7 linked regions of the Coturnix japonica genome follow. The protein of the gene in region 1 binds, or shares a complex with, the protein of each later gene. Links are inferred from orthologs where the notes say so. Each region holds a gene or a part of one and is shown in the gene's direction. Other genes may lie near its edges.

What was found.
Region 2: CEP290 (region 1) and TMEM67 share a complex: the UniProt entries of both Homo sapiens proteins name them as parts of the tectonic-like complex. The link is inferred for Coturnix japonica from reciprocal best matches to the Homo sapiens genes CEP290 and TMEM67.
Region 3: CEP290 (region 1) and B9D1 share a complex: the UniProt entries of both Homo sapiens proteins name them as parts of the tectonic-like complex. The link is inferred for Coturnix japonica from reciprocal best matches to the Homo sapiens genes CEP290 and B9D1.
Region 4: CEP290 (region 1) and TMEM237 share a complex: the UniProt entries of both Homo sapiens proteins name them as parts of the tectonic-like complex. The link is inferred for Coturnix japonica from reciprocal best matches to the Homo sapiens genes CEP290 and TMEM237.
Region 5: CEP290 (region 1) and MKS1 share a complex: the UniProt entries of both Homo sapiens proteins name them as parts of the tectonic-like complex. The link is inferred for Coturnix japonica from reciprocal best matches to the Homo sapiens genes CEP290 and MKS1.
Region 6: CEP290 (region 1) and TCTN1 share a complex: the UniProt entries of both Homo sapiens proteins name them as parts of the tectonic-like complex. The link is inferred for Coturnix japonica from reciprocal best matches to the Homo sapiens genes CEP290 and TCTN1.
Region 7: CEP290 (region 1) and TMEM216 share a complex: the UniProt entries of both Homo sapiens proteins name them as parts of the tectonic-like complex. The link is inferred for Coturnix japonica from reciprocal best matches to the Homo sapiens genes CEP290 and TMEM216.

What each region holds. Positions count from the first base shown.
Region 1 is NC_029516.1:38,934,392-38,937,891, reverse strand, and holds part of CEP290 (centrosomal protein of 290 kDa), read left to right. Parts: intron 1-198; coding exon 199-315; intron 316-1,733; coding exon 1,734-1,879; intron 1,880-2,712; coding exon 2,713-2,868; intron 2,869-3,500. UniProt on the Homo sapiens protein: Involved in early and late steps in cilia formation. Its association with CCP110 is required for inhibition of primary cilia formation by CCP110.
Region 2 is NC_029517.1:114,040,523-114,043,371, forward strand, and holds part of TMEM67 (meckelin), read left to right. Parts: intron 1-11; coding exon 12-128; intron 129-716; coding exon 717-833; intron 834-915; coding exon 916-1,020; intron 1,021-1,374; coding exon 1,375-1,477; intron 1,478-2,454; coding exon 2,455-2,597; intron 2,598-2,849. UniProt on the Homo sapiens protein: Required for ciliary structure and function. Part of the tectonic-like complex which is required for tissue-specific ciliogenesis and may regulate ciliary membrane composition.
Region 3 is NC_029529.1:5,245,975-5,249,474, reverse strand, and holds part of B9D1 (B9 domain-containing protein 1), read left to right. Parts: coding exon 1-31; intron 32-98; coding exon 99-195; intron 196-587; coding exon 588-650; intron 651-948; coding exon 949-1,016; intron 1,017-1,177; coding exon 1,178-1,312; intron 1,313-1,751; coding exon of another isoform or gene 1,752-1,777; exon of another isoform or gene 1,778-1,928; intron 1,929-3,400; coding exon of another isoform or gene 3,401-3,465; exon of another isoform or gene 3,466-3,500. UniProt on the Homo sapiens protein: Component of the tectonic-like complex, a complex localized at the transition zone of primary cilia and acting as a barrier that prevents diffusion of transmembrane proteins between the cilia and plasma membranes.
Region 4 is NC_029522.1:9,998,900-10,002,963, reverse strand, and holds the start of TMEM237 (transmembrane protein 237), read left to right. Parts: upstream 1-1,264; 5' UTR 1,265-1,307; coding exon 1,308-1,337; intron 1,338-1,405; exon of another isoform or gene 1,406-2,055; coding exon of another isoform or gene 2,056-2,073; intron 2,074-2,422; coding exon 2,423-2,454; intron 2,455-3,492; coding exon 3,493-3,503; intron 3,504-4,064. UniProt on the Homo sapiens protein: Component of the transition zone in primary cilia. Required for ciliogenesis.
Region 5 is NC_029534.1:112,298-115,779, reverse strand, and holds the end of MKS1 (Meckel syndrome type 1 protein), read left to right. Parts: intron 1-382; coding exon 383-490; intron 491-979; coding exon 980-1,113; intron 1,114-1,675; coding exon 1,676-1,758; intron 1,759-1,840; coding exon 1,841-1,938; intron 1,939-2,393; coding exon 2,394-2,497; 3' UTR 2,498-2,982; downstream 2,983-3,482. UniProt on the Homo sapiens protein: Component of the tectonic-like complex, a complex localized at the transition zone of primary cilia and acting as a barrier that prevents diffusion of transmembrane proteins between the cilia and plasma membranes.
Region 6 is NC_029530.1:5,164,353-5,167,852, forward strand, and holds part of TCTN1 (tectonic-1), read left to right. Parts: coding exon 1-12; intron 13-401; coding exon 402-489; intron 490-1,099; coding exon 1,100-1,209; intron 1,210-2,475; coding exon 2,476-2,496; intron 2,497-2,940; coding exon 2,941-3,066; intron 3,067-3,500. UniProt on the Homo sapiens protein: Component of the tectonic-like complex, a complex localized at the transition zone of primary cilia and acting as a barrier that prevents diffusion of transmembrane proteins between the cilia and plasma membranes.
Region 7 is NC_029520.1:292,690-296,494, forward strand, and holds TMEM216 (transmembrane protein 216), read left to right. Parts: upstream 1-1,387; 5' UTR 1,388-1,500; coding exon 1,501-1,513; intron 1,514-1,619; coding exon 1,620-1,721; intron 1,722-1,786; coding exon 1,787-1,879; intron 1,880-1,967; coding exon 1,968-2,169; intron 2,170-3,018; coding exon 3,019-3,034; 3' UTR 3,035-3,305; downstream 3,306-3,805. Other genes in the region: TMEM138 (transmembrane protein 138), read left to right, coding at 1-81, 802-877, 968-1,080. UniProt on the Homo sapiens protein: Part of the tectonic-like complex which is required for tissue-specific ciliogenesis and may regulate ciliary membrane composition.

The sequences.
Region 1 (3,500 bases):
TTTCTGAATTCAACTAACTAATACTGAGTTCAGTTTAGAATGCAGAGTTAAATTGTTGAAGTAAAGATAATTTTTAAAGGACCATTTAAGTTGTAAGCTAATTCTCCTAATTGGAATTGAAGTCCTTATTTTTGGAAGGGAGAAAAATACTTAGGTAGTGGTAATTAAACTTTATGTTGAAAATTTGTAATTTTACAGAACAGAGCTGGTGAGCAAAATCTGATAGATGAGCTTCAGAAGAAAGTTAAGAAACTGGAAAATGAACTTGAGAAGAAGTGTGAAGAAACAGAAAAAAAAAGTATAAAAGAAGACAAGGTGTGTGATAAATACAAATATTGTGGCTTTGAAAGATGTCATCCTAAATGTAGGCAGTTTAGCTCTTTCCACTGCCTCTTAAAATAACTGTGAACCAGACAGACTTGATCAAATCAAAAGCAGTTTCGTGTCCGTCACTTCTTTGCCTTCCCTGGTCTTAGTTACTGCTTGTTGCTTAGTACTAGGTGCTTGTATTTTAATGTTTTCCTGTCCTTTTTGTAGAATTAAAAGTCCACAGGTTGTAGAAAACTAAGATTTTATCAGTAGCGGCGAAACTGATTAAGTAAGTGAAGTTAAATGCTCGTTTACAAAATCAATGCATTGATAAAAATTTGAAGTACTTGAGGAGCAAAAAGTGTGAAGCAGTGATGTGTCTGTAAGTGTTTTTTCTTCACAAAAGCAGTCTCCACTTTCCGGAAGTTCTGGAGATGTGTTCACACAGTATCACAGTATCACAGTCTCGTGTGGGTTGGAAAGGACTTTAGAGATCGAGTCCAGCCCTCAGGATTCGTGCCTCCTGTGTAGCAGAGCGGCACTTCTACCACTTGCGCCACAGGGGGGATTCGAACCCAGGGCCTCTGGTGTTGCAAATTGTAAAATTCATTTTACAATTGTTTGTTTTTCCATTTTGTTAACTAATTACTGGCTTGTCACAGTAATTGTTCATATTCTTTTATATTAATTATGAATTCAGTACTAAAGTTATGTTTCCACTTAGTTTGAGGTTTTTTATATACTTACTGTTCAGTGTTTAAAGACATTTTTCACAAACTTTTTTTATCTTTCCTTTTTGCAAGACTTTACTTTCTGTCTGTCTTTTAGTAACTGTAAATTTAGAATGAAGACAGGGCAGAAAGTACAGGGGTGAAATGAAGAAAGGGAAAAGTCCAGTGATAGAACAAAAGGGTTGTTTACAGGGTGATTTTTTGTGATCATATACATACAGGCATATTTTATAATTGCTTAATTTTAACTGTAAGAAAGTACAAATGAGCAGCTTTGCAGGAGGAACGTAAAACCTCCTGGTAAGCTGCAAGAAAAAGGATAGATATCCGGTAAATTGGCATAGAAAAGCCCTTCTTTATCTTCTTTACAAACCTGTAATTTATATTACAGGGATATATTTCACAAGCACATCTAATGTTTTTAAAAACTGTCCCTTTTTTTTTTTTTTTTTTTAAGTAAACATTAAAATGTGAAGATGTATTTGATATTAGAACATTAAATTGCATCATCCTTTTATGCCAGTTACTGCAGCAAGTTTAGAGTATCCAGCTTGCACTGATTTTTACCTAATTATGGTTTGATGTTTCAAATTTAAAATTGTAAAATACTCTGTGATTGTTTTTCCAATGTGTTTGTTTTCTTTCAGAAAACAGTTTGAAAAGAAATATATAATTTGTGTATGTTCTTCACAGGCCTCGAAAGAGGAAATAGTTAGATGGGAAGAAGGTAAAAAATGGCAAATCAAAATGGAAGGGATGAGAAACAAACTTAAAGAAAAGGAAAAGGAAACCGATACTTTAGCCAAACAGTTCGCTACATTGAAGGAACTTTATTCCAGGTGAGTGGTTTTTAATGCATTGTGCTACAAAGTGATGGCATAAGAGAAATCCAAATACTTTTGCCACAAATTCATAACAGCTCATTACAAGATTGATGCCTATATTTGATATTGCTATTGAGATTAAAATAATTATTTAATTTTCAGGCAGCAGGCCACTCCTTTACTATCTCTCACTTGAAGGAAAAAACACAAAGTTTCTTTTCTTCTACACCTGTAGAATAAACTGTCTCTGAATAAAACTAATTTATGTGCCTTCTTATGTTTCCTTTATATGGTGTTCTGTTCTGAAACAAGTAAGTTTCAGCGAGATGGACTTAATCTCACCTCAGTGTTACTGAATCAGACTGTTAGAATTGGATGGTGTGCCACTGTTGTATTATGCTGCTGCAGTACTGCCAGTTCTAGCATGATGAGACCGAAGCTTTTTTTAAACAAAACATAGCAAATAAGCCAACCACATTTGTATGTTAAGTTTACTTCAGTACAGTATTGGGAGGATTGCAGCAATGATGGTTGGTGATGACCTCCAAGTAATGATGGTAGTTGTAACTGTTGTTATATTGTGGATTTTAATAGCTTCAAAATGGCATTTGTCTGAGATCAGAATAAATCTCTCAGGAATTTAATATAAAACACAGACAAGAACAACAAATAACTTGTGACTAGCATGCTGCTAACTTCATGCTCGCTATTATTTCTGTAAAGCTGTTGCTGTACAGTGAGAAAATAAATTTTAAGAATTATTTCAGATTGAAAATATTTTCACCTTAACAAAACAAGCCAGAAAATACAAATAAAGGCTTAGCTGCAATTTTTACTGCATCTTGCAGGACAGAAAAAGAGAAAATTGCTCTTCAGAAGAAACTGAAAAATACTGGTGTTACTGTTGACCATGTTGTTGGAGTAAGAACCTCAGAGACTGAAAAAGAACTGGAAGAGCTAAGGAAACAGAATCTCAGTTTAGAAAATGAAGTTGCTCACATGAGGTGAGAGGCATTTCAAGAAAATCTGTAAAAAAATATGAAATCATAGAATCACTCAGGTTGGAAAAGACCTTAAAGATCATTGAGTCCAACCACAACCTAACCATAGTACCCAAACTCTAAAAACCCTCTGCTAAATCATGTCCCTGAGCACCAAATCCAAATGGTTTTTAAACACATTCAGGGATGGTGACTCAGCCACCTCCCTGGGGAGCTTATTGCAGTGCTTAACAACCCTTTCTGTAAATGAGTTTTTGTCATCAAAATGAGGAAAGAAAAAAATCTGATACAATCAGAAAAAAAAAAGAAAAACAAACAAACAAAAACAACAGAGCAGGTTGCAAAAGTGATATGAGTCTGTGATGAACGAACTTAGAGCTTCCAGGGAGCAGTTGTGCATGTACAGAGATTATACAACATTGGTTTGTTATTTTAAAAGTGAAACAATATAATGTTTCATTGTATAATACATGACTCCTTTTTAGTAAAATTGTAATAATTTCAAGTTGATGAAAGATTCTGGAACTTAGATGTTGTAGTTATGGAGTGTATTCCTAATCATTGTATCCATTATTGCAATACACAGTGTACCTCAGAAGGTAATAGTGTAATAGAAGGTGTACACATCTCAAAAG
Region 2 (2,849 bases), on another chromosome or scaffold:
ACTTCTTTTAGATTTCGGTGTTAATCTTGTCACACAGCTGCTTTGGTTATTACATCCATGGCCGCTCAGTTCATGGACATGCAGACACCAACATGGAGGAAATGAATATGAACCTAAAGAGAGAAGCAGTAAGTAAAAGTAGTAAAGTTTTACACCTACTCTAATGATTTTCTTAAATTAATTAATAAATATATACATATTTTAAAGGCTTGAATAAAGGCAGAATGAACTTTAAAAGATGTTTTAGAAGGTAATGGGTAGAACGCAGGCAAGAAGATGAATATGACTTTGTGACAGCAGGGGTCAGGATTTCATGTCCTAAAAAAATCTTGCAGTAATAGCCTCAAGAGTGCAGTGAATTCAAAGATTCGGAGGTATTGAGTACTGTATGTACATATCAGGATGTCAGGAAACACTTCACAGGAAGGATTGTTAAGCACTGCAATAGGCTCCCCAGGGAGGGGGTTGAGTCACCATCTCTGGATGTGTATAAAAACCATTTGGATGTGGTGCTCAGGGACATGATTTAGCAGAGGGTTGTTAGTTAGGGTACTACGGTTGGGTCACAGTTGGACTCCACGATCTTTAAGGTTTTTTCCAGCCTGAGCTGTTCTATGATTCCACATGAAAGAGAATAAATTAGAAGCCTTGACTGTTTGTTTTTTGGCCTATGTATGACATGAATGATGTTAATTTACAGTTACTTTAATTTGTAGGAAAACCTGTGCAGTCAGAGAGGTTTGCTACCAAACACAGACGGCCAGACATTTCAGATTTCCATTTCAAGAAAAATGAGACTGCAGTATGACAGAATTCATGAAACCCTGACAAGAGTAAGTGAGACATTTTGGTTCTGTGCATAGTATTTAAAATAACGTACTCTTCCACTAAAGCCACGGCCGTGTTGTGTTTCAGAGACGTGGCCCTGCTAGGTTTTTGGACTCATCTGCAAATACTTTTGAACAAAGCACGAGGGCGTACAACACCATGAACAGATTCCTGGGTTCTTTTATTGATCACGTATGTATATTGATATTAATACATTAAGGAAAACTACAGTAAGTACAGACTAAACATTGTAAATCTGCAGGCCTGTAGTTTCTATTTAAGCGTATGCCCATAAGGACTTGTTGTTCAAGATTTCATAGGAACTGAAACAGTGCTTCATTCAGATAAAAAACTGGAGTACTGTGCAACAGCGCAGCCCCGCTCTTCAACAAGACAAATCCTCTTTTGTTACATGTTTATTTTTATCTTGGGGTAGACCAATGCTTTCTTCATTCGTAGAGGTCTGAGTGGCTGTACTCCACTTTGGAAAGAGTCCGTTTTCTTTGAGATGATAAAACGGTAGTTGCATCTTTGCTTTTCTTACAGGTTCATAAAGAAATGGATTATATTGTCAAAGATAAGTTGCTGCTTGAGCGGATTCTAGGCATGGAGTTCATGGAACCGATCGAGAAAAGTATTTTCTACAATGGTAAAAGGATGTGTGACTTCAGATTGGTATTTTTATAAGTATATGTGTTTCAGTGTAGATTTACTCCCAGGATTTCCAACCTAAACTGGGCTTTACAGCAAGAGCGGCCTTAAAATGATTGTGAGGGAAGTATCTAAGAGGCTCTCTAGGTTAGAGAAATCCCACTTACAATCTGTCGCTTAATTGCAATGTTCTTTTTTCCCATAGGCGTCTTGAGAGGATACTGTGTACAGATGTGCAGTTGTTTATGAAGTGTTCCCTCGACTTGCTATCCAGATCTGATATCCACTTTTTAAATGGAATGAGATCCACAGTATTTAAATAGTTCAGCACTATGTTTTTGTAGAGAACTAAATTTCCTGTGAAGCAACTAAAAGAGCAGAAAGACAATTCCTCTAAAGAGGATATTGGTCACAGTGAGGATGTTGTAGTGAAATAATTGATTATATTATACCACCCATTTTTGGAGACATTGTTGAACTTAGTTCAGACTTTTACTCTGCCCCTATCCATAGATACGGCCATCACTAAGTATTGACTAGCAACCAATGATGGGGCCTCATTTTGAGCCCCTTAAATGCTTGACTCTCCAGTCTCACTGTTTAGAAACTTGGAACCTTATCAGAGCCATAATCTAATCCACTGATATTAACAGAATGACCATTACACATCCTAAATATGCCATCCTTGTATAATACCAATCCCCAGGTTACATTATTGAGCAGAGCAGAACGTTTTCTGCTGTCTCCTTTCCAACACCAAGGCTGCAAAATCTGAATCCCTCCTTTGAATCACAAACTTCGCTCTGTAATCAGGGATGAATAATTTGGTTATGGAAAATGGTGTTTTAAGCTTAAAAGACCCATTCGTGGGGAAATTGATTGCTAAGTGAACAAAGATCATGTTAATCTCTGAAGCTCCTTCTAGGTAGGGTTTAAGCATGTTTCATTACGTTCAAAACCACTGTCTCTCTGTAGATGAAGGACACTCTTTCAGTGAAGTTCTGTATTACGGCAATGAGACGACGCTGCTCATCTTCGATATCCTGTTTTTCTCCATTGTGGATCTGGCTTCCCAAAGTTTCGTTTTAGCAGCTATTCTAACGTATTTGCAACAGGAGGTAAACAACTTCTACTTAAATACTGTGGGGTACTATGAGAGCTTAAATAGTTTCAGAATGAAACCCTGGACACAGTATGTGATGTTAAATAGTCCGGAAATATTCATATGCATGTCATGAACAAAGGGATGACAAACAGCTTTCACTGGAAAACACAAAAAACAATCAAAATTAATTGCAACTAATTTTATCATGTTTGATGATGGTACTGGAAGAGTTTCAAAATCACTAAAGGCAGTTGAACACCTGATT
Region 3 (3,500 bases), on another chromosome or scaffold:
ATCACCTTCAAGAGCACCAACCCGGCCGGCTGTGGGTGCTGGGGCGTGGGGGGCGGTTTGTGTGTGAGGGGCCTGACTCATAGCCGTGTCTTTTGCAGGGCCGCAGATCGTAGTGAGTGTCTACGGACCTGATTTCTTTGGCAGTGATGTGGTCAGAGGTTATGGAGCCGTTCACATCCCCTTCACACCGGGAAGGTGAGGTGACAACCCTGAAATACGGGTTAGTTTCCAAGGTACCGAATAATTCCAGAGGCAAAAGCAGCCCTGGATCTGCTTATTGTGTCCTGTTTGTTTGCAGAAGGGACACAGCATTTCTAGCAGTCGTCCCATGTTATCCAGTAACTTTCGGCGATCCTTTAGGATTTTGGTACTCTTTAAAGCCAGAACTGCCCAAAGTCAGCCCACAAATGCAGTGGGTTTGCTCTCTCTCAAGAGCAATGTGTTTGCTCTACCCCCATTACTCTCAGCACTAAGCTTTCATCCTCTCCCCTGGAAACTGACTCAGTTATGCTCTTCTTTATGCAAGCAAACACTTCTCATAGAAGTATTTCTATGTTCAGTGCTCTGATGGGTCTGAATTGTTTCAGGCACAAAAGAACCATTGCAATGTTTGTTCCGGAGTCCACGTCCAAGCTGCAGAAGTTTACAAGGTAATAATTGAAGGCTGCTTAGTTTTAAAGATGTTCTTGCTGTTATTCACAAACGTCTGCCCAGCTGCTCACTGATGAGTCTGTGTAGATTCCTTCCATCACAACCAGTTTGGAGCTCCGTAAGTAAAGTCACATTTTCAGTTGTCTGAGTTTACTGAAGCGTTTACTTAAACTCAATGCCTGTCTCATTTGTTGGGTTTTCATCCTCTCAATTTAAAATGGTTGCTTTGAAAAACAAAGCCCAGCAGTACCTGAATTATTTTACTGGCTGTCTCCAATTGTTTCTTTTCTCTTCAAGTTGGTTCACGGGGAGACGTCCAGAATTTACTGACCCGAAAGTGGTGGCACGAGGAGAAGGAAGAGAAGGTAATTCTGCAGGAGCTCCTGCTGTAACCTTCGCATGACAACAGGCCACAGCTTGGCCATCTGCTTCTCCTCTTAGAAAAGCAGTCCTGCCCTGTTACTGAATTCAACAATGAGTCAAAATTTGCTCTGAACCAATGTTATTCACGTCTTCTTTCTCCTAGTAACGAGGGTCAGATCTCAAGGCTTTGTCACCATTTCCTTCAACATCGTGACTAAAGATATGAAGAAGCTGGGCTATGATGTGAGCCCAAGCGACATGCAGAACCCCTCTCTGGTGCCAGATACAGAAAGGATTCGTAAGTATTGAGCTCAGAACTGAGATGGTCAAAGGTACACGCAGAAATTAAGCACCAGGGATTGCTGGGGTTTCTCCTTCACATGGACAATGAGTATCTGACTCAACTGAGAACATTTTACCTGAGACCTTCATTCTAAAGACTTTGGAGTAATTACCTGGAATATGATTCTTTCAGAAGGATACAGGTTGAAAACTCATATTAATTAATGCTGTCAGATCTGTTTTTTATGCATAATATCAGACTATCAAAAAAGAAGACCTGCAAGGTATTTTTGTAACAGCCTTTTTTACACTCTTTTTATACTTCGGGAATAGGAAGGTTTGTGGTTGTGCTAATTTTCCTTTGTTTAAAACGTCAGTGCAATCCCAGTTCTTTTTATTAATAATGTTGTGGTAGAAGTGGGAAATTATTGAAGTTATTTAATCTTCCAAAACAGGAGGCAGGATGGAAATGTTCCAGTGAGACACACAGGCCTTTCTCTGTGCCACACACTTCTCTCTGCATCTTCATAATCCCACCTAGTGCTCAGTTTGTGCATCTAAATGAAATAGTTTGTGCACTGCAGAAAGAAACCCTTCATGGTTTTCATGGAGCAACCTGGGCTTTTGTACTTAAGAACAAGGTGATGCCTCTCATTTCCAGCTTCTATTTCTTCATCAAGTTGCAGGAGGGGGGGAAAAGGGACAGCAGCTTATTTTAGAAGTGTTAGAGAGATTGTGCTGTTAAATTCATGCCTGCTGATAATCATTCAGATCACACACTGTTGTGACAGTATGGATTCAATGAAGAGAGAACAAGAGTGTGAGGAAGCTGTTTACACAGATAATGTTCACATTTGTTGTAACTAGGTTTTCCCACTGCATAACCAATAGTGGGCATAATTGACTCAGCCATGAGAATATGCTATTGAAGTTAGTTTATTTATTTGATATGAATGAGGATCTGTTTCTGTAGGTAATTCTGTAGTGCCAATATCAGTAAAGTGTTATAATGGATGTATCTCGTGTCTTGTTAGTAACGCCTGAATGCGAGTTGATGTAAAAGCGCACCACGGCTGTGATAGTTCAAGCAGGGACAGACCCAATGTGACTAGTGTGTAGTGCAATACCCCTGAGTGACTGGAGGGTGAACCAGGATCTTACCCTTCCTCAGATCCTCATATTTAAGGTTGTTAGCAGAGGAGTTAGCGTATCTTACTAGAGATGCCGCCTACCTGAGCCTTTCGATGAGTTGATATAGCATGTGGTTTTTTCTAGTGTTTCGCATCCTTTGCTGCTGTATTGGTTTGTTTTTGTTTGCTGTAGTCAAAGCTTTGCTGCTTGGATGTTTTTGCTGTACTTTCTTCATTCTATGATCTGCTTATTCGGTTTCTGAACTCAAGCATTGTTGGTGAACAGGCAGATGCATGTTTAGGATGGATTACCTAAGAACAGTGGCGCATTGGGTGGTCACTGGAGCCACTAATAGAGCAAAAAGAGGAAATACAAGGGGAAACTCCAGGTCCGGGTCCATGCCTCAGTGCTCATGGATATTGGGAATGGGCCTCAAAGGGACAATGGTGACATTATTAAGTCCCGTTCAAAAATGTGACTTTCTGAATAAACTGGAATAAAATTTTTTGACTTAGGGAAGAGCAGTAGCAGCATCTGCTATAGCATGATCACTGCTACTATTAATGCAGATCAATCCTCTGAGAAGAATAGAGAAGAGAAATAGCTCTTTAAAGGCTGTACTAGGCAAGTGGAGAATAAAATTATGTCTTTGACGGAGCAAACTGCTTCACTTTCAAGTAGAACTTCCCCTCTGAAATTAAGGCCCATCATGCATTTGAGAGTCCAGACCTGGTTAAGATTTCAGCAGGAATGAGGGACCTCATACTACAACAAGCCCCTCCCAACCAGTAAGGCTTACGTCTCTGAGGGCAGAATAGGCCGGACTGGTTGACAAAGCAAGTGGGCTAATGCAGGCCTATCCAGAACCAAAACTGAACCAGATGTATACAATCAAGGCGCTCACCAAGTTGATGGATGTCTACAGGATGCCTCAAGTCAGTTAGTGTGACTAAGAGACTCATTTTATTGGCAGAATGGTACAACGCTGGGCAGAAGACAGCAATGCTGAATGGCGATTCCACCTGCACTGTAATCTGATGGGGCTTCTTAAGGCTGTGCTGAAGACAGACTCT
Region 4 (4,064 bases), on another chromosome or scaffold:
CCACTGCCATACCACCACCATCTGCTTCTGACATTGTGGGCCAGCACAATGAAATAGCAGGTGTTACTTTCAGAGCAGCCTTCATAACATATGCAGTACAGTTACTGTATAAGAAATCAAATGTTCCAGTGTTTTTATTAAAACATTTTTATTTTTTTTTTAAAGAGTAACGAAAACCTCAAACCAATGGGATGTGTTCTTGTTTTTGTGAAGCTCAGCATGTGGTAAGAGAGGGCTTAAAAAAGCCTGGTAAAGAGATATGATGACCAAACTATTCTTTGGAGTGAATGCCTGATTGCAGCTGTTGGAAATTCACAGGTTATACATTTGTGTCAACTGAAAATGCAGTCATAAACATACCAAAACATTCATGATTCTTTGTTTGGTTTTTTTGTTTGTTTGGTTGTTTTTTTGGTTTTGTTTTTAAGTTGAGTTAGTGCTGCACTGCATCCTCCATGTCCCACACCAGCCCAGGCAGTGCTGATTGCACACCGATATGTGGTTGTTGTGAGCAGTGGGTGCACACCTGAGGTCACTTGGGCTGCCACAGTATTTTAGCAGGGCTTGGCTTTTATTCCATCAACTCAAGTGACTGAAAACTGACAAAATATGGATTTATTATAGAGGAAAATCATATCCAAAGCCCCTTTTCTTATTGGTTTGAGTCAAGGCAGCACGTTCTCTTCACCAAAGAGTACAGTGACTATGGCTAACAAATTCCTCACTCTCTTCATCTCACATTACAGGTTTATTGGACTCAGAGGAAACAACTTATCCTGTCGGCCTGGTTCCTCCTGGAGAAAATCTACTGGAGGAGGTTGCGCTGCCTATAAAGAAGTTATTCATGTAGTAAGCCTGCTCTTGCAGCTAGCACTGTGCCAGCTTATAGTGAAGTCAGAGCGGGGTCCTTGGCAGGAAACACACTGGAAAGCAGAGCCCTGCATGGCCCTGGAATGGGGTGAGTACAAGCAGCGGGAGCCGGGCTGGTGCATGAGCTGGTACTTTGCCCCTCGCAGCAGCGGGATGTACATTGAAAAGCAGCTGCCAGAAAAGCACAGCATCGGGTGTTCGTTCCCTTTGCAGTTTGATTTTCTTTTAACTTAGAGCTTGTCACTTCATTTGCAAATAGTGTCACTCATAACGAGGCGAACGAAGCCGGAATCCCGGTCTGTTCAAGGCCTCGCTTTCCCCGTCGCCGCACTGAGGATACCGGCTGTGCCGCCGAGGAGCGCGGCCGTAGCGGCGGGGCGGGGCGGAAGCGAGCGGCGGCTCCTCCCTGCGGGGCTCGGGACGGCGGCGGGGGCGGCATGGCGGAGCCGCGGGCGGGACCCGAGCGGGTGAGGGCGGCGGGGCTCCCAGAAGGGCGGGGGGGGGGCCGGGCCTAAAGCCTTCCCCGGCCTAGGCCGCGCTGTGGGCGTTGGCGGCGGTTCGGTGCGGCGGTGGGTGGGGGGCTTCGAGTTTGAAGAGCCGGCCCCCGTTGTGCCGCTGGGGCGGCCGTGGGTGTGTCTCGTCGGAGGGTTCCCGTGGCCCTGCTCACCGAACGGCACCGGGGGATGGAGTCTCCAAATGGCCATCTCGTGCAGCCGCCCCCTTGCTGTGGCCTGCGGTGTGCTCCTCCGGGCCATGGGCAGCTGCAGCTGAGGGCTGGAGATCTCTGCCATATCCTAGATAATTAACGATAGTTATCGCTCAAACGATGATGAAGGCAATAATGAGCCCCGAGCTAAACTTCGCTTTAAGCTTCCTCGTGCGGCGAGTCTCACTTAGCAGGTGAAAATCCCCGAGCAGAGCTCACCTGAACCTTTACCAGCACATAGAGCAATGGGGTTTGGGGCAGGTGCCATTTAGGACAAGCTTTGCTGCCAGAGCAAACCACCATTGATTCTAGCAGGAATAGTGCTGGGCACTGGCCCAGGGGCAGGGAGGTTTACAGCCAGCTAATCCGGGCAGCCAGAAGCTTATTTTTAGTTCAGAATTAGCAGAGGTTCAGCGTGAGCGACGTCAGGAGTGGAGAACTGTTCACAGTGCCTCTTCCAGGGAACTGCTTCCAATGATATGGGGAAAAAACAAGTGGTAAGTTGGGGGCCCTTGAGCTTTACTGGTCAGGCAGGCTTTTGTGTTGTTGGTATCAACTGAGTTCTTGTAATGTAGGAAATGTTTAATGCTATACTTCTTATGTATTATTATATAATACAAAATCATCCAGTGCAAGAACTGCATTTCAGATTGACAATAGGAGATATGTGTTTCTTACTCTTTATGTATTTGGTTGTGTATGAGAACCTGGTTTCAGAAGCATAACATAGATAGTGTGAGTTATTATTGCCTCTGAAAGCAGCTGTTCTCTGTGGAGTGGTTTAACAGACCTCGGGATGATTTTGCACTGTCAGAAGCTGACTTCTGTCTCTCCGTTATGTTTCAGCGCCCTCCACGTGCCCTCCCCCCAGTGCCAAGGTAAGATCAGTTCGTTCCACAGGATTGATTGTGGTTCTCTACTGCTGTGTTTTTAAAGGAAATGAAATGAAAGAAAATGAGTTTGAGTATCTGCACAGTCACAGTAGCTTTTTAAACATTTGCTTTTCTTGCTGCTTTGTTGTTCTAGAATCCCTCACAAGAATTATAAAGCATTTAACGTTTTTAGAGGCTGAGAAATTGACTCATTTTTAATTGAAGTTTACCTCACTTTTAATATTCAGGAAGATTAAACCTTTTAAAGTCTTAGACAAACATCAACTTCAGTTTTATTAGCATCTGTATCAGTTTTACTGATGTTTCTCTTTTCACTTTCTTCTTCCTTAACTCTTTGTTGCTGTTGTTTTGCTACATTCTTTGGTACGTTTAAATCACAAATCCTTCAGGACAGGGATTTTTGAAATCAAGCTAGGTGTTATCAAATGGAGACACAGGTGTTTATCAGTTTGACATAATATGGAATCATAGAATTGCTTAGGCTGGGAAAGACCTTATAGATCATCGAGTCCGACTGCATCCAGAGAAATCTGGGCTTTTTTCTTTTTTCCAGCATTTTAATGAGCAGTGTGGAAGGAAAAGCAATTCTACGGATTTTTATGGCATGATATGTCAGAATTCCTTCAAAGTACCTTAGGGCAAATGTGATGTTCATGATTGGCAACATATAAAGGTGTATTTTTAGTAATGTGTATGTTGTAATGTTTCATAACTTCTGTTAGTTTGTTACATGTCAGGCAAGTTTTAATTAACCAGGTGATTATCGCTTTTAATCTGATCTATAGCTGGCCAATCAAGAAACTGCACAGTCACGGACAGTGTTGAGTCTGGATGATTGCTTTGTACACTTAACCCTTTTGTGTACAGTTGCCAGTAAATAAACGTGGGAATGGAAATAAGGGGAATAATGAAATGAAAAAGTAGAGAGAATGTCACTGTTGTGAGTTGATTAAAAACTAACTCTCTTCTTACCTTTGCTCCTTTGGCGCTGCTCTTCAACACCTTTTCTCATTAAACGTGAAGTGGAAACCAGGGTGAGTTATTCTGTCATCAGAGAGAGTTGTAACCATCTATATAGTTCTTGTGTCATTTTATCCTCTCTTGAATCATAGAATCATAGGATTGCCTGGGTTGAAAAGGATCACAGTGATCATCTAGTTTCAGCCCCCCTGCTATGTGTAGGGTTGCCAACTGCTAGACCAAGCTGCCCAGAAGGACTGAAGGATTGATCCTTACACTCTTCCTAAATGCATGCAATCATGGGTATTCAGACTGTTGTTGTGAGAACTATCTGATCTTTTGTTCTTCTTACTAATTGCTAGTTCTGAGTTAGGGCAACTGTAATGTTGTCACTGTGTTCTGAAGAGTTCTCTGAAGTTTATTCTTCAGAGTATCATTCAGGTTTTCACTTAACATGTGCATGTGTATATTTAGCCTCTGTTACACGTAAGACAGATAAGTTATTTTGCTTTCCTGCTATCTACTGTACTTTTCCTGTTTCTGAACATTGGTGAATTGTCACCTGATCTGTAAAAGCTGAAATATGTCCTTGCTTTTAAAAAGGACTCTTTCTTAATTTGGAATGGTATGGTTGT
Region 5 (3,482 bases), on another chromosome or scaffold:
TCTAAGTTAATAGTCCCCAACAGTGATGAGAAAGATCAGAGATAAAAAGGCTCCTCTGTGCTGCGTCAGTTGTTTGCAGATTGTCACAACTGCCCAAAGACAACTGAGGAATCACTTTGACGATTCTCAGAGACTCACCAAAACAAAGGTTTTTTCAGTTCTTTAACTTTTTAGCCCTGTGTTTTCATCCTCAAGTCTGATGCTTCATCTTTTACACAGAAAAATAGTCATGCATACCCCACATAGAAATAGGTTTGTCATTTTGGGAGAAGCAGAGAAAGGACTCCTTGCTAGTGGGATTGAAGTGTTGAGGAAGTTTTTCTCTCTGTGTTGGTCTCCCTCTTCACCATTCAAAAAACTGATCTGCTCCCTTTCCTTGCAGAATGCCTCCTGCATTGGCCCGTTCTCTACTTCGAGGTTCTGTCCCTGGATTTCTGGCAGAGGTATCGTGTCGAAGGTTATGGTTCTGTTGTGCTGCCAACATCTCCAGGTAAAAAACCAAACATCTTTGGGGCAGTATGTTAAGTGTGTAGGGAAATAGGAGTTGAGTGGTTCTCTTTGGAACAGCTGCACCTAATTCTGGGAGGCTTCACCGTGTCATTTTGAAATGAATAGTTTGCTGTCTGTGAAGCAGCAGAGTGATGTGATGTGTCTGCACCTTCTGCCATGATGAGAAGCATTGTGTTTTGCTGTACTTGTTCTTCCAGTGGTTCTGCTGGAGAACTGTATGTGATAAAGCTCTGCATGTCCATCTTTACAATAGCAGTAGGCCCTTTCTGTTGTGTATGTAATCCCAGGCTCACAACTAGTCTAACATCATCACATAGTAAAGGGGATGGTGTCAGTGCTGGCTGTGTGGCTGGGGCTCATTGGAAAAACCTGGGAATCAGTGGGTATTCATCAGTAGGTATCCGTCCACCATGATGTCCTCTATGACTGTCGGACAGTACTGCTGAACTGTTCTGTTGTCTTGGCTCAGGTCTCCACGTGCTCACCATCCCGACCTGGCGCCCTGTAGAGCTGGGTACAGTTGCTGAGATGAGGAGATTTTTCATCGGTGGGTCTCCTGAGCTGGAGGACGTGACCTATGCCAGGATACCAACAACCTTCAAGGTAGGCTTAGCTGTGGGATGTTGCTCTTGCTGGGAAATGGTGGATTATGCTCTTAGAATCAAAGAATCATAAATTATCCCAAGTTTGAAGGAGCCCAAAGGATTATCAGTTCCAGCTCCCTGCTCTACACAGGACTACCCACAGCTAAAGTGCATGTTCTGTGTCCAAACACTTCTCTAACTTCAGCTGCTTTGATGTTCCAGTGGCTCCCCTGGGAGGCCCAACAAGCCTCTTAGAGAAGACCTCTCACCATCTTTGTTGCTGTCCTTTGGAATCTGTTTAATAAGCTGATGTTTTTCTCCTATTGTGGCACCCAGACTGAACAAAGGGCTCAAGATGGAACCCTTCCCCCAGCACTGTATCTTCCCAGTGGTCAGGTCCTGCCCTCAGCACAGCCTGGAACTGTCTGCTTGTCTCTCTGACGTCAGTTTCTGTTTGAAGCAGTGCAAGGAGTGATTCTGTGCCTGCGGGAGTGCTTGTCCTGGTGGGGCACACTCGTTGGGGTCAGCCTGCTGTAATAGGTTAGAGGCTGTAGGTACTCTAACTTGTGCTGTTTTTGCAGGGAAAGCATCTGAGCCGCTTTGGTTTTCGCACAAAGACAACAGGGAATGTCACGTTCCGGCTTTACTGCCTGCAGCAATCCAAGTGAGTGCAGCAAAGTGAGCACAAGCTCTGTGTTGTGTGCTGTGTTCTTCCAGCCCTGACCTCGAGCTGTACTTCTGTGCAGAGCCTTTCTGGAAACTAATGCCCTGAGGCATCGCATGCAGAGCGTTCTGGACCGGCTTGGAGGCCTCAGCCAGCAGAGCTCTGTCTACAATGTTCTGGGTAGGACCTTCAGTCTCCTTCTTCGAGGAGGACCTTTGTCTCACTTTTACCTCCTGTTTACAGGTTGGTCAGGGTATTTCAGGAGAATCCATTGCTTGAAGTGGAATTATCCCCCACTGTGAGCTCTCTCTGAGTTAAAACAGAAGTTAAATGTTCTGACCTGACATTGCTGGAAATTTGAGGAGGCATCAGCCCTGAGCAGTCAGAAGGGATACTCGGTCCATGAGGGCAAAGCCTGGGCTGGGCTGCCCAGTCTTGCACTGAACATAACTTGTGGCTGCGGTGTGCAGAGTCAGTCTCTGATCCATTATGCGCAGAGCAAAGAGCAGCAGCAGTCAGGTGGTACTTAGTGAGACCCCTGTTCTGAGAGGTGATGTGCACTGGACAGACTTGTCCTTCCCGTTCCCTGCGGCTGTCTGATGTGTTCTGACTTGCTGTCACCTGCTGTGTTGCAGAGGCTTTCCATCGGGCTCGGCGGCGGATGCAGGAGGCCCGTGAGAGCCTTCCCCAGGACCTCATCAGCACTTCTGCCTCCAGTGTGTGGAAGAACCCTGACTGACAGACTGACAGACCGACAGCCTCACTGCCTCTGGCCTGGGGGCAGCCCACATCTCTCTGACAGAAGCTCCCAGTGCCCTGAAGCTCTTTGAGGCCCTTCCTTTGCAGACAGGGGCAGAGATGCTGCCCTATGTCTCTCTATAGCACATCCATACTGAGAATCGTTTCCACAGGTGCGCTGTTTGAAGGCATTTTGTTACCAGGCCTTGATGTTAGAGCCAGTTGTTCATGTTTCTGCTGAGCTGACTAAAATACTGACATGAGACACGTGAGCTTTTTGAATATTGAATTGTAGGCAATGAGAAAATTTTCAAGTCTACTTGACTTGATAGATTTACTTTTCTTCTTAAAGAAGAGGGTTATGTTGAAGGTCAGGGCATGAATGTTGTTTGAGATTTAATTAACTGAGTAGTGAACTTACTGATAGTTACCATCAGCATTTGAAGCTTTAGGTCAGTTTTCAGTAAAATGAATCTGACCACCTGAGATTTAAAACTGATTCATTCCTAGAGAAAGGGAGGGGTCTTCATCGCATGGAAACCAAAGCAAGGAAATTATGTGTGACAGAGGCCAGACTGGAGAAGAGGGTTCTGTTCTGTATTTCTTTTTATCTGTGGAATTTCTGGCTCTTCTGACTGCAAGGATGAGCAGAAGGACTTTGGGAATACAACTGAAAATACATCTTCTCTTTAGTTCATAGAAGAGCTGGGCTGGATGTTGCAGATGAGAACAGATTGTGACATTTGCACAGCAGCTGAACTTTGAACTGTTAAGCTCTTCATCTGAGCTGCAACTCATTGCTTGAGCTCAGCAATACACTGCATTGCTTCCTGGGGAAGCATATGTTTACACAGTTTTTACTCACTTTCTTCTTCTTTTCTCAGCCTTTTTTATTCCCCTATTTTTGTTCCTGTCTCACGTTCACAGGACTGGGGCTACCTGCAGACCCACAGTGATAGGAAGAAAAATATCACACAGGGCTGAGT
Region 6 (3,500 bases), on another chromosome or scaffold:
TACAGATATGAGGTACATGAGAGTATGATTCAAGTAATATTAAATTGCTTCATAAAAGAGCAAGTTTGCATTTGCTTGTAAAAAATTGCAGTACTGTAAAAGGAAAATCTTTGTTTTGGTCTTTAAACATAGAAATGCAAAAAGAAACATGTAGTGTTGTATGAGCTTTCTTCAAAAGTGAACTAGGATTTTAAGATCCGAGAAAAGTAACCAGCTGTTCTGAACAAGGAAAGCTGTTAGCGGTGGCTTAAGAATTGACGTGCAATGTGGTATGTGGTGTTGACAGATGTAATGGAAAAAATAACTTCTGTTATACAGATTTACTGTTTATGCAAATGCTCTAAAACTTTCCACGAACTGAAATACACCTATATATTTGAATATGTCATTTTGTTTGGCAGTATGGTGTTCCTATACAGACGGTGGATGCATTTCTCAGGCTGCCTAGTCCTGTTGTCTCCTCTTGGTGCTCTGATGCAAACCCTGCAGGTTGGAAAATGTATTTGAATTCCAGTAGAATTCTGTTCTAACTTGAGCTTAATCAGTGAGTAAGCGATCACACCAATGTAAATTCAGATAAAGATCTGTGAACAAATGTTTTATGGATATCTTCTGAGTCTCTGGAGGTTTTTTTAGACATAGGGTGGAAGCTGTATTGCAGCTATGTTAGATATTCAGAGTTAGGTATGGGAACCCTTGGTTGGCATCTCTTTTTAGTGTTTTGTTTATGCAATGGTAAAACACCACTGACTTAATAATTGATTTAATTGACATAGTAAAATAGTACAAGGGTGACGCTGTGAGGGTAGAAGGTGTTGCATAAGCATGACCTAACTGGGCAACCTCTTTAAGACATCTTTCTTTAACAGAATGAGGTTTCTTTCACAGTTTGAATGCAACTGGGGTCAGACTTGCAGACTTGAACCCTACATTTTGAGCTGTCACAGTTTCTTGAAAATCTGTAAGGGAGAAAAACAGTAAAAAAGAAGGTTGCAAGACCCATCGTTATTGTTAAAGTTGTTCTTCTGCAGTTTTTCATTTGTGTTTTTCATAATTACTCTTTAATTTCCTTCAGCAATACTTTGTGACTCTCTTCCAGGGTTCTTAGTACACCAGGCTACAAAATGCATTCGATCAATCAGTGTGGAAAACTGTGGCAACGTTCAAGCAGTTAGTATGCTATTTTATATCAACTCCAGCATTTTAGCAGTAAGTATGATCTGAAAGCATCATGTAGCTGCCTGCCCATATTACATATTGCTTTGTATTTCCATAATTAATTGCTATTGCCTACAGGATATAATGTTTCCTTTTGATATTTAAACCATGGGTTAGGAAAAATCCAGCAGTCTTTTCTATATAAAGCTTTTAGAAGTGTTTTTACTTCACACTGAAGTAACAGGAGCATTTACTCTTGTCTGCTTAGCCAGCAGAAATAACGGTCTAGAAGATAGAAGCTTGTGGCACTGTGCTAACTGTGCAATAACAGCAACTTTATGTGCTTGTGCATGTAAATCTTGTACTTAAAGAATCTGTAAGGTTGGATCCTCTTCAGTTTTTAATAGTGGTGTTAATATAGAATTATTGCACACGTGTGCAATAATCTTCATTATACTCCTCAAGGAATGTGACCTTTTACCCCTCTGAGAGCAATCTTGCTCATATCCAGCTTACTATCAAATCTGGTATGTGGCTGTTTTTCAGAGCTAAGGTTAATTTTTCATTCCTTTTTGAACAGGAGGTTCATATTTATACAGCATCCCCTTGTTCAAAGGTTGAGGAATATTAGAGGGGGCCAAATGGTCAGGAAAGCTGGTCTGTAGGCAGTTCTCCTTGTGAAGATGGGGCGTGAAAATAAAAGAATTATTTTGTTTTGGGGATGGTCAGAAGGCAGAGCAGGGAACGCTTTCAGTGCCAGCAGGTGGAGCCACTGGCAAAAGAAATGTCAAAATCATCTGCCCAGGGAGGCCGGGAGCCTTTGGTGAGTGGACCCACACAACAGTTCCTTGAAGAAAACCCCATCATTAAACAAATGATACACAGCACTAGTAATGCTTTTCTCCTTTCTCATGCAAACAATCTTTTTCAGTGTTAGTTCTGAGTTGCAAACAGTGTCAGAGGGAAATACTAGATTTATCTTGTACTTATCGAATGCCTTAAATGTTTGTTAGGAGTGCAGTCAAAGCTCAGTCTGGTGGAAAACTGCTGGTAGTCACTAAGAAACTTTCCAGTTGCTGCCAGGGGAAGAAGAGCATTGAGCTGTAAGATTTTGCATACTAGCCACAAATAGCAGTTATTTTCAAACTACCTAGATACAGCAGCGTGCATCCAATGACTTCCACTATTCTGAATTCACTGTAATGATAGGGAGTTGAACAGGCAAAGCAATTAAACCTTAACTGCTTTACTTAACTGCTACTTGTAATAATTCATCCCTTTGCTATTGTTTGAAATTGCTCTTTTATTCTCCTCTAGGTACCTAAGTCAAGTCAGATGGTAAGTATCTTTCAAACTCAGAACTGGTGGGGGTAGACTTCTTACCCTATTATAGTCAGTGGGAGTTTTTCACTGACTTCATCAGAACAGTGACTTTAGCCTTACTCTTTAGAACAAAAAGTAAAGCAAAAATCCCCTACACGTGCCTTAGGAGAAAAATGCTGTGGTTTTTATTCAGTAATGGTATTAGCAACACCAAGATTACATGCCACCACCAAGATAATACGCTATCTGCAGACAACTTTAATCTGATATAGTGCCCCAACATAAAACTATTAGCTGATTTTATTTGCTGTTTCAGTTTAACTTCATCAATACTCTTGCTTAAAGGACTATTGTCTGCTGTCCAGCACAACAGAACTTCTGAAGAGTCACACATATGATACAGAAGAAGCCAAAAATAAGTATACATAATATTTGGAAATGACATGAATTATTTTTCAGGTTAATATTACTGTCCGGTCTGTAGTTGTCCAGTCTCTGAACGGAAGGCACACTTTACTTAGCACCAGCCATGATCTCAGGAACCCTATGATTTCAGGTGAACTATGCATCAATGTAGTTCATGGGGTAGGTATGACATTTCCTTTTCCCTCTTTCATTTAGTAGAAAACATGTGTGCATCAAATAATTTCTGATTCACAACTTACAGACATGATAGAGGCCTTGCCATTTCCATATATTGCGGCATTTTCAAAGCTAGTATCACAAGAGAAACACAGCCTTCAGGATAAGAGTACATTTCACAATAAAACAATAACAATATGCAACATAAGGTGCAGTCAAGATGAAATCTGTTTTATTATTGCTCTACATATATGACATAATGGACAATGAGTTTACAATCCAGATTATCCTTGGTAGAATATGACTTAAGGCACAGTGGTAGCAGAGACAGAGGAATACACAGTGCAAATTACCTTTTTATCTTAAGGAGATGAACATTTAGAATTACACCTAGAAGTTTATCAAGAAGCCAGTTTTGAAGAGGCTCCAAACCTAGA
Region 7 (3,805 bases), on another chromosome or scaffold:
CTCTTCCACAAGTTCAAGGGCACCATCCTTCTGTCGGCAGCGTACCTGGCACTCAGCATCTCCTTCCACATCTGGATCATGGTAGGTTTGAGGCTGCTGGCTTCGCAGCTCCTTTCTCCCTTCTGTCCCTCTGTGCTGTGGGAGGAAGGCCATAATCTCCTACTTGTAGCTATCGGGCTGCCTCATCCCAGCCCCCAGCCTCAGCACTGCAACCTGCTTGAAAACCCACACAGAAAACCTTGCACAGAAACCCACCACAGCAGAGTGGTCCCCAGTGAAGGCCATGACAGCAGATCCTGCTTTGTTTACCTGGGATTAATCCCCAGCAATCACCAGCGCTCAGAGGCTGGAGTGCTGAAACCCTGCTGAAAAACAAGTCCCAAGGGTCCCTGCTGTGTCCAAGCAGCTTTGTACCCCCTCTTCCCCATCTCAGCTCCCCCCATCCTGTGCCACAGTCACCATTTGACAAGCAAAGCAGCCAGCAGGTGCTTCCTGTATGCTTTTCAACAGGAGAAAGGCCCATCCTGCTGCCCCTGGGCCAGGTCTGTGACTGAAGCTGACCCAGGGATGTTGTACCCACAGCGTCTGGGCAGGAGATTGATGGGGATTTGCAGGGATCTAAAGTCTGAAGCTAGAATAGGTCCTGACTCGCTGGCCAAATCCCCTGAGCTGCTTAATCTTTGGAGCTGCCACCAAGAGCACGACAGCCCTTGTGGGGCCAGCTCCGTCCCATCGGGATCATCAGTGATCCCATGGGTTCAGTGAAGCCCATGGGTTCTTCCTTGTTTCCGTCTGTGTCAGAACCTGCGCTGGAGGGATTCCAGCCGCTTCATCTGGACCGAAGGCCTGCAGACACTGTTTGTTTTCCAGCGGCTGGGTAAGGGCTCGTGCTTACTGAGGCAGCAGGAACCTGCCTGGGGGACACCCCAGCTTAGTCCCTGTGCCCTCATCTCCCTCCCTCCTGCAGCGGCCGTGCTCTACTGCTACTTCTACAAGAGGACTGCAGTGCACCTGGGTGACCCGCTCTTCTACCAGGACTCGCTCTGGCTACGCAAGGAGTTTGCTCACTTCCGTGGTTGATGGCCCCCACTGCAGGAGGGGCAGCTCCTCATAGCCAGGGGATGGAAGGTCTCAGCCCCCCCAGCTCCAGCCCAGCTGTGTTCCTCCTCTTCCTGGTGGTGCCCTGGGAGCTGGCAGGGTGCTCACAGCTCACAGCCCCTGGTGGGATTGGGGCGTTTTTGTGAGTAGTGAGGAAATAAATTGTCTGTATTTTCCAGTCCGTGTGTGCTGGCTCTCTCCTCTTTTATCACGCAGCTTCTCGGTGTCCCACTACTCAGGGCTGTTCCCATTGGGTTGCCCCCCCCGGGGGTCCGCAGGCACAGCGAGGGGCGGAATGGGGGATTCGAACCCGCGGCTCGGTCCTCCAGGGCCATAGAGAGGGCGGGATAGAGCGGCCGAGCGCTTTCCCTCCTGCAGCCGCGGTTCCCATGGAGATGGAAGATGGCGGCGCGGAGTGAGTGCGGGGCCGGGAGCGGGGGGCGGCGGGGCCGGGGGCGGAACGTGAGGCGGGCGGCGGGGCCTCGCCCATCCCATCCCATCCCATCCCGCGACCCCCACAGGCCGCCAGCGCTCCTCGGCTCCGCTGCAGGTCCTGCTCTTCCTCAACGGCTGGTACAGCGCGACCTACTTCGTTCTGGAGGCCTTCATCTTCGCCTACAAGGGTGAGCCCCCGCCCTCCCGCTCCTCCGCCCCCCGCCCCCAGCGCTGAGCGTGGCCGTGCCCGCAGTGCTGCTGCTGCCGTACCCGCTCACCAACCTGCTGCTGGACGTGCTGCTGCTGCTGCTCTACCTCAGCATTGAGGCCACGCGCATCTTCTTTGGTGAGGCCTTGTCCCTCTATCCCGCACCCCGTTTCCCGGTGTCACACTGTGTGGTGCAGCCTTGCACTGCTCACCCTGTGCCCCGCAGGTTCCAAGGGCAACCTGTGCCAGCGCAAGGGGCCTCTGGCCGTCTGCCTGGCCCTGACTGTGCCAGCAGCCATCATGGCGATCTACTGCCTGCTGCTGCAGACCTATGCCCTGCGCCTGGAGGCCATCCTCAGTGCCATCCTCCTGCTCTTCTACTCTATGGAGCTGCTGCTGGGCGGCCTGGCGCTCGCCTCCTTCTCTAGGTAGGTGGCGTGGGAGCAGAGGGAGCTCTGGGGGTTCTCCTGTCCAACCCCCTGCTAAAGAAGGTTTGCTAGAGGGCATTACAAAGGAGAGCACCCGGGTGGCCCCACCACCTCTCTGGGCAAGCTCCTTCCAGTGCTCTATTACCCTCAAAGTCAAGAAGTTTTTCCTTGTGTTTCCTATTGTTGGTTCCCTACTGCCCCTTCTTGTTACTACCACCAGGCACCTCTAAAAAGAGCGTGCCCCCACCCTCTTGACCCCTACACTTCAGATCAGATCCCCTCTCAGCCTTGTCTTCTCCAGGCAGAACAGGCTCAGAGCTGTCAGCCTTTCCTTGTAAGGGAAGTGCTCCAAGCTTCAACCATCTCTGCAGCACTCCAGCAGGTTCCTATTTACCCAGAGCCAAGGAAACCAGAACTGGTCCCAGCGCTCCAGATGTGGCAGAGCAGAGAATAAGGAGAACCTCTGTTGCCCTGCTGGCCACACTCTGCACAATGCACCCCATGGTCCTGTTGGGCTTCTTGGCTGTAAGAACACTGCTAGCATATGGACAACCATTGGTCAACCAGGACACCTGTTGGCATTCTTGGCCACAAAGGCTGGTTCATGGCCAACCCATAATCCACCAGGACACCCAAATCCTCTGCAGATCCCCTTTCTGTCAGCTCAGCCCTTAACCTGCACTGATGTATGCAGTTACTCCTCCCCAGGTGTAGGACGCTGCGCCTTGTTGAACCTCATCAAGTTCATCCCCCACCCAAATCTCAGCCTGCCCAGGTCTCACTGAGAAGCAGCACAGCCTTCTGCTGGTTGAGCCTCTCCTCACACATCCTCTCCTCTGTTCTTTGCAGCATGGATGCATACTGAGGCCCTGCACCAGAGGACCACAGCAGCGCAGGTACACGAGATGGCAGCAAGCAGGTGGCACAGGCTCCATCTCCAGCCTGTGGTGGTGAGCCAGACCCACACTGGCACCTGTGGGCAGTGCCAGGGCTGTGCCTGGGTAGCACCCACCCTGCTGCCACCCAGCCCCGAGGTTTGTGACACACAGGTCAGTCCAAGGTACAGACAATTTGTTTTTTTTACAGCGTTGTAAGAAGAAATCACTATTTTCCAATAAATAGTTATTTTTATCTGGTGCCTGGGCACGTGGCATCCCCCCAGGCCAGAGCACCTCATTACCACAGCCAGCCCCTGAGCCAGCATGGGAGGCACAGCAGCCCTTAGGAAGAGCTGGAAGATTGGGGGTGGGGGGGCGTTACAGAAGTGCTTGGCTCTTGCTGCCCATCCACACCTTCATCCCCTGAACATCCCCACCAGAATCTCTTGAAAAGCTCCATATAAAAGACTGACAACGTCATCAAGTTTATTACACAACTTCCAACCTATCAGAAAGACAAACAAACCTAAGTCACTGCGGGCAGAGGGGGGCAGCGCCTCGCCGGGTGCTTAATAGAGGTTCCTCTCTGCACTTTTCCCCCCCACACTAATTGGAAAGAAACTATAAATTTGTGTTGTTACGTAAAAAAAAAAGCCAACAAAAACAGAACTCACCCACCAAATGCTTCCCCCCAGTGCTCACCTGATGGTACTTGATGGAATTCATTGTGTGATTGTAGCCTAACAAAGACCTGTGGA